Caenorhabditis elegans: one gene and its partner. The protein of the gene in region 2 interacts with the protein of the main gene of each other region in a pairwise test. Each region holds a gene or a part of one and is shown on either strand. Other genes may lie near its edges. The genes, in order: del-4 and W05E10.2.

Evidence for each region.
Region 1: the proteins of W05E10.2 (region 2) and del-4 interact in a two-hybrid assay, tested with the Caenorhabditis elegans proteins (one large-scale study listed by BioGRID).

Annotation. Positions count from the first base shown.
Region 1 is NC_003279.8:8,138,794-8,144,313, forward strand, and holds del-4 (Amiloride-sensitive sodium channel), read right to left. Parts: upstream 3,745-5,520; coding exon 3,638-3,744; intron 3,595-3,637; coding exon 3,489-3,594; intron 3,285-3,488; coding exon 3,183-3,284; intron 3,040-3,182; coding exon 2,908-3,039; intron 2,643-2,907; coding exon 2,566-2,642; intron 2,103-2,565; coding exon 1,903-2,102; intron 1,856-1,902; coding exon 1,577-1,855; intron 1,506-1,576; coding exon 1,424-1,505; intron 1,347-1,423; coding exon 1,289-1,346; intron 1,242-1,288; coding exon 1,092-1,241; intron 1,049-1,091; coding exon 875-1,048; intron 829-874; coding exon 712-828; 3' UTR 675-711; downstream 1-674.
Region 2 is NC_003283.11:11,685,281-11,689,869, reverse strand, and holds W05E10.2 (uncharacterized protein), read right to left. Parts: upstream 2,694-4,589; 5' UTR 2,445-2,693; coding exon 2,411-2,444; intron 1,544-2,410; coding exon 1,384-1,543; intron 1,323-1,383; coding exon 1,214-1,322; intron 791-1,213; coding exon 707-790; 3' UTR 582-706; downstream 1-581. Other genes in the region: mfsd-8.2 (Major facilitator superfamily (MFS) profile domain-containing protein), read left to right, coding at 1-46, 182-344.

The DNA of each region.
Region 1 (5,520 bases), on a different chromosome or scaffold from region 2:
TCATGCAATCTTTTGAACACCTCTCTGCCGACCCACCATTTGGATTACTGGCGGTCGGGATGGATTAGATGGATTGAACGGTGGTGACGTGACAATTATAGTAACAGGGTGGTAATCTAAATATTTAGATTATGAAACAGTTGCCAGCATTACACTAAATTTTGGATGGATTAAGAATTGGATTAGAGAATAATAGGGCTTACTTGGATATTGGGAAAAATAACTTTTAAGTGAGGTGTACGTTTTCTAATCAGATGATGGGAGATAAGTAATTTTTATTTAACAATATTATTTTTTTAAATCAATTTTCGTTGTTAATGAAAAATAAAACTACAAGAAAAACTATTTTTCAAAATAAAATAAAATTATTGATTTTTGTGGGATTTCCCTCAATAGTTTTTGATTCAATACTCGACTTTTTTAATATTAAAATGAATAGGAGGATAACCTTTCAGGAAAAAAGTGCCAAAATATACCTGTAAAACATATTGAATATTTTTCAAAATTTTAATTTAAGCCGCCATTCCTCTACGAATCTTCCACTGTTTGATGTAAACTCCTGTGCTAGCTTTCCAAACCCTTCCCCTGTCTGCCTCATTTGGCGTGACCTACCCCTGCCCTGCTCCGAAATTTCAGAAAAGTTTGCCTGGAAGGCATTTTTGTGTCTTAATATAAATCTTTTATTCAACGTTTCCCAAAATCGGCAGAATATCAATCATTAGAATGAGGCTTTGGTGGAACAATATCATGAGCTGTATCCATTTCGTAAAGTTCTGCATTTGCTTTTTGATGTTTCTTCCGCTTCTCTGCAACTTGATCCACATCATCCTTCAAATAATTAATTTGTAAAGGTGCAATACTATTAAAGTGCTACCTTAGCCTTTTTGATGTCCATTTCAAGTTGTTCAATTTCTGCTCTTCTAGATTTATGAGTACAACAATAGAAAAAGACAAGAAATATCAAAACAAGATATTCGATTGCAGATATAATACTCATTCCAAGGAACAAACCAACTTGACCGCCAACATCAGAAATGAAGTTTACAAACTGAAAATATTCCAATTTTTATGAGTTCCATTTTTAAACTTACCGTATACGCTGGTGACTCTGTAAGAACTTGGAAGTTCATTCGTTCATAATATATTTCAATGAGAATGGTGTTTGCTTTATACCAATCAAGACACGATTCTCCTGAAGCATCCCACGGACCAGATGGACCACCAGGATTGCATTCTGTTGGCTAGAAAAATTAATTTTTACAGAAATATTCAATATAAAAGCACGTACCACATATGAATCGGATGGCCATTGAGCAGTGGATACAGTTACACCATATGAATCGATTCTGAACCAAATAATATTATTTTGACAACTCATTTACAACTGCTGCCTGTTTTAATAAATATTTGAAACATAACCTACTCGCAAGGTTGAGGGCAATCACAATCGGTGAGCACATCGAATTCCGTTGAATCGGCACTATTGATCAAGTCAACACAGTTTACTGAAACATATAAATAATATAATAGGAAAATTGGTCAGATTTTTTTCAGTTAATGAGCAGATAAAACTTACAATTAGAAAGTGTCTGTACACCGTTATCACATGATACATACTGTGTTGTATTTGATGCATGGGAATAAGCAGGATAGTAACATCCACACGATGCAATAATCTTTTCCTGCATACAACTTCTAAAACATGCTTCAACAGTGTATGTTCCAGTATAATGAGTAGTTTTTAGTTTTGTTTTGGTTGTGCAGCTACCGTAAGGTTTACTAAGACGAGTAGTTTGAACATAACTAACACCAAGAGAGGAAGCAGTTCCCGGCGGTGCAAAGTAACCGAATACATCTGAAATAAGATCAAGAATACACTTCTAATGCAATTTGGCAGTTCACCAGGATACGGTATTTCATCCTGCATATGAATATCAATGATAACGCCTGAAGCTTCAGTCCATGGAAGATATGTATCTTGATCTGTTCTCATCACCATACGAAGACCATAAAGTGGTCCCGCGCGGGAAGAAGAATACATTCCATCAGTGTTAAATTGCAGACAATTTCCGTATGACGGGTTGTAAAAATCGTTAAAGTCACTGGAAAGTTAAGAATTATCTTTCAGAATTTTGTTTGAAACAAGGGTGCGCGGAAAATATAAAAATATATAGAAAATTTGCCCATATTATTAAAGTTTTACAATTAATAATTAATTTAAAATGATCACTGAAAATATTTGAATGAATTGAGTCTAATTATATTTATTGGTTTTTTCTTCTCAATAAATGATGATATAAATTGAAAAAATTGTTATTATTGTTGAAAAAGTTTTTAAAAAAGCGAAAGAGATTCTAAAAATTATGTTTGACAAATTACAACTTTAGATAAGTACAGGTTCATTTCTACTTTCCAATAATAATACTCATTATTTTCAAATCAACCACATATTTTCTAAATTTCTACGTTAAGTTTTAATTGCATTATATAAAGCTACACTATTTTATCAAAATAAGCAGATTGGTAGACGTAAAGAATTACTGCGAACACAAACTTTAAACGTACGTAATGTTGCATGTTTTTGCATTATACGTGCAACTAACAACCATGTCATCATATGAATATGCAATGTCTGCCGCATCCTGAAATTACTCACTTCCTTTGGTTTATCTTCAAAATCTCAAAGAAAAAGAAAGCAATCGATCATAAAACACACACAAGAACAATAAAATATTCTCCTAGTTTTTGGATTTTATGTCTTTTCCGAAATGATTATAAACCCCCAATTTCAATTTCGAACATTTATGTGCTTTTTTGAAGAAACTTGATTTATCGGTCGAAATTTTAGTTCCCGGTGCTCTTTGAGCATCGGAAATTCTGAAACATGTTCAACAAGCTTTGACCTACATTATACTGTTTTTCGTTAAGTCTTTCAGAATACATGAGAGTCCATTTACTAGCTTGTTGCTGCCTATCAGCTGTCAAAGAAGCTGGGAGTCCAAATTGAGCAGAGCTTGAATCAGAGTTGTAGGCGTCGATCTGGAAAACTGATGCTCTTCTGATAGGTAAGGGATATAAGACGTAGAGATGCAAATTAACGCGTTTTCTACAACTCCATCACTTTCACTTCAAAAATCAGTCCCTCAAAATCATTTAAAATGTTATTAAAGACTTTGGATTACCAGTGCACTCATATCCGGGTCCACACTTTTCGTTTCTGATAGTTTCCATGGATTTAAATGACAAATCGTGACGGTGGGAAATGTCCGTTCGGCAAATTGCAGCTGGAAATTTATGGGTAAAGTGTGAGAATGCAGGAGCAGTTTCCGTGAGATTTTCAGATGACTTTTTCTACAAATTTAAAAACTTCAAGATCAGTAAAATATTTAGAAAAAACCTAATTACGCTTTGCCCTGGTAGAATGTCTATTTTAATATCCCCTGTTCGCAAGAGATATATAGTTTTTGTAAGTTTTCTTTACAACAAACCGTAGTTTCCGTATTCACACTGAATGATAAATAGTTGGTAAGCAACGTGATGAATTGCCAAATAAAAAGTGCAATGGAAACAACGACGACAAGTATCCAGAATGCTCTGAAATCATTTATCATTCTGGGTCATTAATTTCCATGTCTACCTCAACCATCGAGCATTTGCCATTCCAATATGTGGAACTCCATGAGTTGATGTCCAACACGAAAAATCCGTGAAAACATACTTCAGGCCGGTCCAAAATACACCCATCTGCAATTTTATTTTAATTTATTTCCAATCAACCTTTGTCACAAGGCATTCCACGTCATAATTAAGGTAGAAAAATGCCACACCATCTTTAAACTGTGATCAAGTTCCCAAGGATATTTTGTTTTAAAAATCTTCTTTTCCAAATAGATTCCCAATTTCCTATTTTTGCCCATTAGAGAAATACAATACTTTGTATTCGTCGGTTTAAAGTCACATGGACAATGGGTAGGAAAAGTTTTAGAGTTCATTTCTGTTGTGCTAAAATGACCAAATATAATAGTGAAGCTTTTCAAATACATTTATAAATTTTATTATGCACTTACTCAGTTTTTTCCAGTTAGAATTTTTTCATCAAAACAAATTTAATATGTTTTAATTTTGTTTTCACTATTTGTATCTAAACATTGTAGGAGTCAAAAATTTGTCAATTTGCCAAAACTTTGACTGAAAGTTTTCAAAAACATATACAATTTTCGGTGAAAAATTTAAGTATTATTAGAAACCGCATCTGGTGGTATTTTGCCTTTGTTCCATCTAAAAATTATATTAATGATTTGAAGATAATTTGATAATATCAAAAACATTTTAATTGAACTACATACGTTTTGATTATTTTCTTTAAGTTTCTACTCACAAAGTGTACGTTTGAAAAAAACTGATACTATCTAGATTTCAACCATTCTCCGGAAAATTAATATATGTTTATTTGTCGTTTCTGATCAAACAGTTCTGTTTCTCGAGATGTGAGAATTCTATTTTTATTTTCAACCGTAACAATTTTCAAGAAGCCAAACTAGCAAATACTAATCATTTTGAAAGTCCAAAATATCATAACTCATACATATTTATCATATGATCTATGACATATCAACATTTAATTTATGACTTTTTCATTTAAGGCTTCTCTTTTCCTTCTATCTTTCAATCATCGATCATATGATAAAGCTAATATTTAAAGGCAATTCTAGCAAATATTTTGTGTAATTTGGTACTTACAGTTGAAAGCATTCCAAATTCCCTATCATAGTAGAAATCAGTTTATGATTTATCTGCCAAGTTAAAAAATCAAATTCCCAATTCAAAGTATTCCCTGAACAAGCACTAATTAGAGATACGAGGAACCCTTTCTTCCCTTCTTCAATTCTCATTAGGATATTTTAGATTCTGGAAATATGAGCATTTTGAGCTCCGTGAGCAGCACGGAATAGAGCATAATTATTTAATGATTTACGAGGTCCTAGCAGTAATATCTTACATTTCAGAATTGTATATAGCCAGCTTTTTTTGTTAAATCTTTCTGTTTCAACCAAAACTCTTGTGACTAAGCTCGTGATCTCGTTATTATACATTTTTATAATTCTTTCTTGAATTTTCGATTTTTTAATTTAGAAGATAAGAAAGGGTTTTTTGTTTCATAAGTTGTTCGTTTTTAAGTAGTACTTGGAAATCTTCAAGTGTAGATTTATTACTAGAAAGTCAGAAAACAAGATCTAAAATAAGAAATGTTAAAAATGTTGACAAGGAAGTAGTGTGGGTGGAGATTTATGATGTCTACATTTGGAATGGATCTCATATACTGTGTTCATTGGTGAAATAATTTTCTTTTTTCTTGGCGCCTTTGCTCCTCAAACTGTGATGTTAGAAAGCACTTCACCACTTCGAAACTATTTTTTAAATTTATTATTATGTCAGAAATAGCAACAATCTTCTATCGTCTAATATCTACACTAACCAAAAATATTTTTTCTTATTTCAAAACCTAATCAGTGAGCGAAT
Region 2 (4,589 bases):
CATTTTTTGGAAGTGTTGGAAGATGTGCAGCTCCATTAGTTACAACGTGAGTTTCTTGAAATTTCAGTATATAAATGTTTTTTCAAGACAGGTTTTCCATAGCGGGAGGGGCCCTAAAGAACATTTCAACCTAATTTTTCAAGGGTTCTGCCTTATCAGTGAATATAATTTGTTCTTTCAGCTTCTTCTTCAACTCATCTGGCTACACATGGGTTAGTGTAGAAATGCTCACATTTCTTATTATCGGAGCTTTATCAACATGCATCTTCTGGAAGCAAATGATACCTTTAGAATTAATACAAAAGAAAGAAAGTATTAGTAACAACAATAATCACAAAGTGTGATGACATTCTATGATGCCTTAATTCCAATTATCACTTTTTCCGGGTATTTTCTCATCATTGACGTGACGTTTTCTGACAATTCCATATTTCATCAAATAAATACGGTTTTGAGTTGAAATTGTTGTAGCAGTGGAGATCAAATGTGCAAAACTATAAATCTGATAAACAATACAAATGGCATTAATATATTTAAACAAAGGCTTCTGCTCAAAAAATGACACACGTATTTCTATTTCTTGATGTTAATCTTCAATCTTCATACTTAAATGCAAAATAAGTTCAATCGGAAATCTTTTAAAGAGCAACAGTTCAATATTATGTACATTATTTATACGTTAATCTTTTGCCATCACATTAAAATTTTAAGCAACCGAATATCTGACGTGGCCCCGTGTTCCTTTTGTGGATATCGCTCGTCTATTGAAATTTTCAATGCTCTCGTGCTCCTGGAAAAACATACATTTTATTTTAGGACGTTTAAATGGAATGTTGAAAATCTAAACCATATTCACAAGTTGGGTGGTTAACTTCTTTTTATAAGATATTTTTTTATGAATCGAAAATGTGAATAGATGAAGACCAAAATAAATATGTTTTCAACTCGAAAACTTTGATACCTTAAAAACACTTCCGGATACATTTTCTAAAAGTCACGTTTCATTAACTTGATTCTGAAGTTGAGGAATTATACCGAGTTGGACGGGTGGGTCCTGGTTTAGTGGTTCCTGCGAGTTAATATTTTATAAGAATGAGCTCAACGGAGAATCGTTGCAGCTCAAAATTTGCTGAATTTATAAAAAAGTCAATTTTAGTACAACGATCAAATCTTAAATGATCCAACTTATTTAAAAATGCAAATTGAGACTCACCTTTTCTGAAGATTCCGGAAATTTCTTTGAATAATTGTAGCAAATTTTCACTGCAATTACCAAGAATGCAATACAGACAATGCATATTATCCCTGCCAGAATCCAATCTCTTCAAAAATTAAATAATTAAAAAGCTGTTAATATTTCATTTCCATTTTTGAACAACTTACAATTGACCATTTGCATCATCATCGGATGCTTCTTCTTGTCCATTTAGTACAAATTCTGTTATTTTCTCCATTCTTGTATCTTCTGAATCTGCGACTCGAAAAATATGTGGAGAATGAATAAGATCTGAGTAGTGGGCTCGACGTCTCGGTAGTGCGGAGGCTGAAATGTCTTGTGAATTCTAGACGAGAGGTTTCCCACGCTTTTGGTAAAAACAATCACATGTGAGTGAGACAATATGGTGCCTGATACTACTTTTTGAGATTTGAACAATGTACGAGTAGAAGGAAACAGTTTAAAATTATGTCAAGATTAAATATTTATTCTCTGTATCGGTTATTTTTTTATTTTTTTTATTTTCATTAAACTTACAAAAAATTTCATTAAAAGTGATTTTCTTCAACAAAACACTTTTTAACAAATAGTTTCATAAAATTTAACAAAATACTAATTTACATTAATTGAAAAAAAAATGAATTTCAGATATCAAATTTGATCAAATTGAATGTTTCCGAACTATGGAAAAAGTTATCATTAACCATCGCTAGATATTAGAGGTTCAACTGAACTTTATGATAATGGAGGAGGATTTAAAAAGAAAAAAAAAACAAAATGTACAATTGATTACAATCTGTCGTATGTCTTGAGAATAGGTCACATGGAATACTTGACTAATTGAATGAAAAGCCCAACGTGGTTTCAAAAATATCTCATTTTTGTAAGGGGCACAATGCTAATTTTACAATTGCTTTTTAATCCAGATAAACATATTTCTAAGTTGTGTATTAATAGTGGATTTTGAAAGTGATAATTGTGATAGATTCAAAAGTGAATTACTTTTAGCCAGCATTGCCAGAAACCAGAAAAAATACGCCCAGATCTGATCAAACATTTTGAAAAAGGTTTGTGCCCTTTCTTCAAACGTTAAATATATGTAACACAATATGTTTCCTAACGAGTAAATTATAATTATCTACCAAACAAAATTGAAAATACAAAGATACAAATTTACAATGTTACAAAACTTACATGTATTGAATAGCTCAGAAGAAGTTGAAGTCATATTCAGCAATTATTAAATAAATAGTCAAAATTGAGAGAGGTTAGACTAGAAATAATATCTGGTATTATCCTCTTCCGATCACACGAAATAAAGCCGATAAGAAGCTCGACATGAATTCTAAAAAATTTACTTTTTTTACGAAAAGGCTCCTCCTTCTTTTTTTTCTGGATTTTTCTGGAAATTTCTATGGTTGCTCTGGTCAACGCGTGAAACAGAATGAAATAGGAAATGAAGGAGATTTGATGTCAAAAGTTTATCTAAACTAAAAAATGAATAAATGGGTGAAAAGTAGGCGGGGGCAGAGAAGAAGAAGGAAGAGATGACTGAATTTTGTGAATAAACCCAATTTGATGGTAAGAAGAGAGCTCGAAACACACACGATTTGTGCTCTCAATTCTTTTCTTTCTCTTTCATCACTTCCTCTAGATGTTTGAGAACAAAACTCTAAAAATAGTAGTTTCAACGTCACCTACTTCAAAAGTCCATGAGTGGATTTCTGCAAAAAATGATAATCCAGCTTTCCTGGGAATAGTTAGCACCTATTTACAAAAGATAAAATACTTTGGAAATATGCTTTAGAAAAATTATTATTTCTAATCTTTAAACGGGAAGTTTTTTCAAGAACGTGTTCTTTTTAAATTTGAAATTTGACATTGATTCCGAAAAAAGAAAAGAAAGAAAAGCAAACGCCACACTACAATTTCATTTGGATGGGTCTCGCCGCGAGAAGTGTTTTTAGGGCCCGATATTTTAAGTTCGAAAAGAGGTTCAGTTTATCAATTTTTATTTCTTGAAACAAAACTGCTCCCTACAATTTTTTCCGCGGCGAGACCAATCTGAAAAGAAATGTGCGTTTTACAACAATTCATATGTTTTTGATACTAAAATCTCTATGTTTTTCGCGAGAATATTATCCAGGAGCAAGAGAACGGTACGCTATGATTAATTTTTTTTAAAACACGTTTTACTTGGCTTCTTTTTCATTTTAAAAAGAGTAATAATCCTCATAAAAGTCACCACTGAAAACAAGGGAAAACGTAAAACAGGGATATGCGGAAGGAAGCCATCGAAAAGTGAAAAAAAATATTTTGAAAAATGAAATTGCAGTCAGTCTGACGAGAAGTGCTTCTTCCTTTTTCTTTGGCCCATCATCATCCTTTTGAATCCAGAAAGAAGAATCAGAATAGAAGAGAAGCCGTCCGTTTTTGAATTATGCATACTCTTTCCAATGACTGAGAAACACATTATCCGTCGTCTCACCAGTTTCCGTATTACTCTTTGATGATTGAAATGTAGGAACAGAATTAGATCAAAAATAGATTTCACACCCTCATTTCTTATTTTTAAATGTATTGAATTCATGAATTATTTTTATTCGTCAATCTTAATATTACGGGATCACATAATTCTGAGTATGCGTATTGCGCAACATATTTGACGCGCAGAATATCTCGTAGCGAAAACTACAGTAATTATTTAAATGACTACTGTAGCGTTGTGTAGATTTACGGGCTCGGTTTTCGAATTAAATTTCTTTTCGAAAATCGACAGCGATTTTCAAGTTTCCTTCGTTTTTCGAATTCTTTTCTCAGTGTTTTGCTTAATTTTAATATTCATTAAATAAATAAATATAAAAATATAAATTATTTAAATTCATTTGGAACATTGATACCTTATACATGAGCTTTTATAGAAAAAATACGATCGCACAAAAATAAACAACGACGCAACGACACTCCGCTATTTTTAAGCCCCGCCCACGATTTCATTTGCACTGCGGCCGCCACATTTCAGTGCAAATGAAATCGTGGGCGGGGCTTAAAAATAGCGGAGTGTCGTTGCGTCGTTGTTTATTTTTGTGCGATCGTATTTTTTCTATAATACAGTATTCACTTAAAGAATTATTGTAGTTTTCGCTACGAGATATTTATCGCGGCAAATACGTTTCGCAATACGCAATCTCAGAACTTTGTGTTTCAGTAATATAAAACAAATGCTACCTGAAAAAGGAATGCACGAATTTATCTGACAATTCTCAATTATAGATGCCTCTGAGACTACGTGAGAACTCCTTCTATGGTTAATAATGCCTTATTCAGGCGCGCTTGAGGTTGCAGTTGTATTCTTTGAATTTCTTTCATGAAA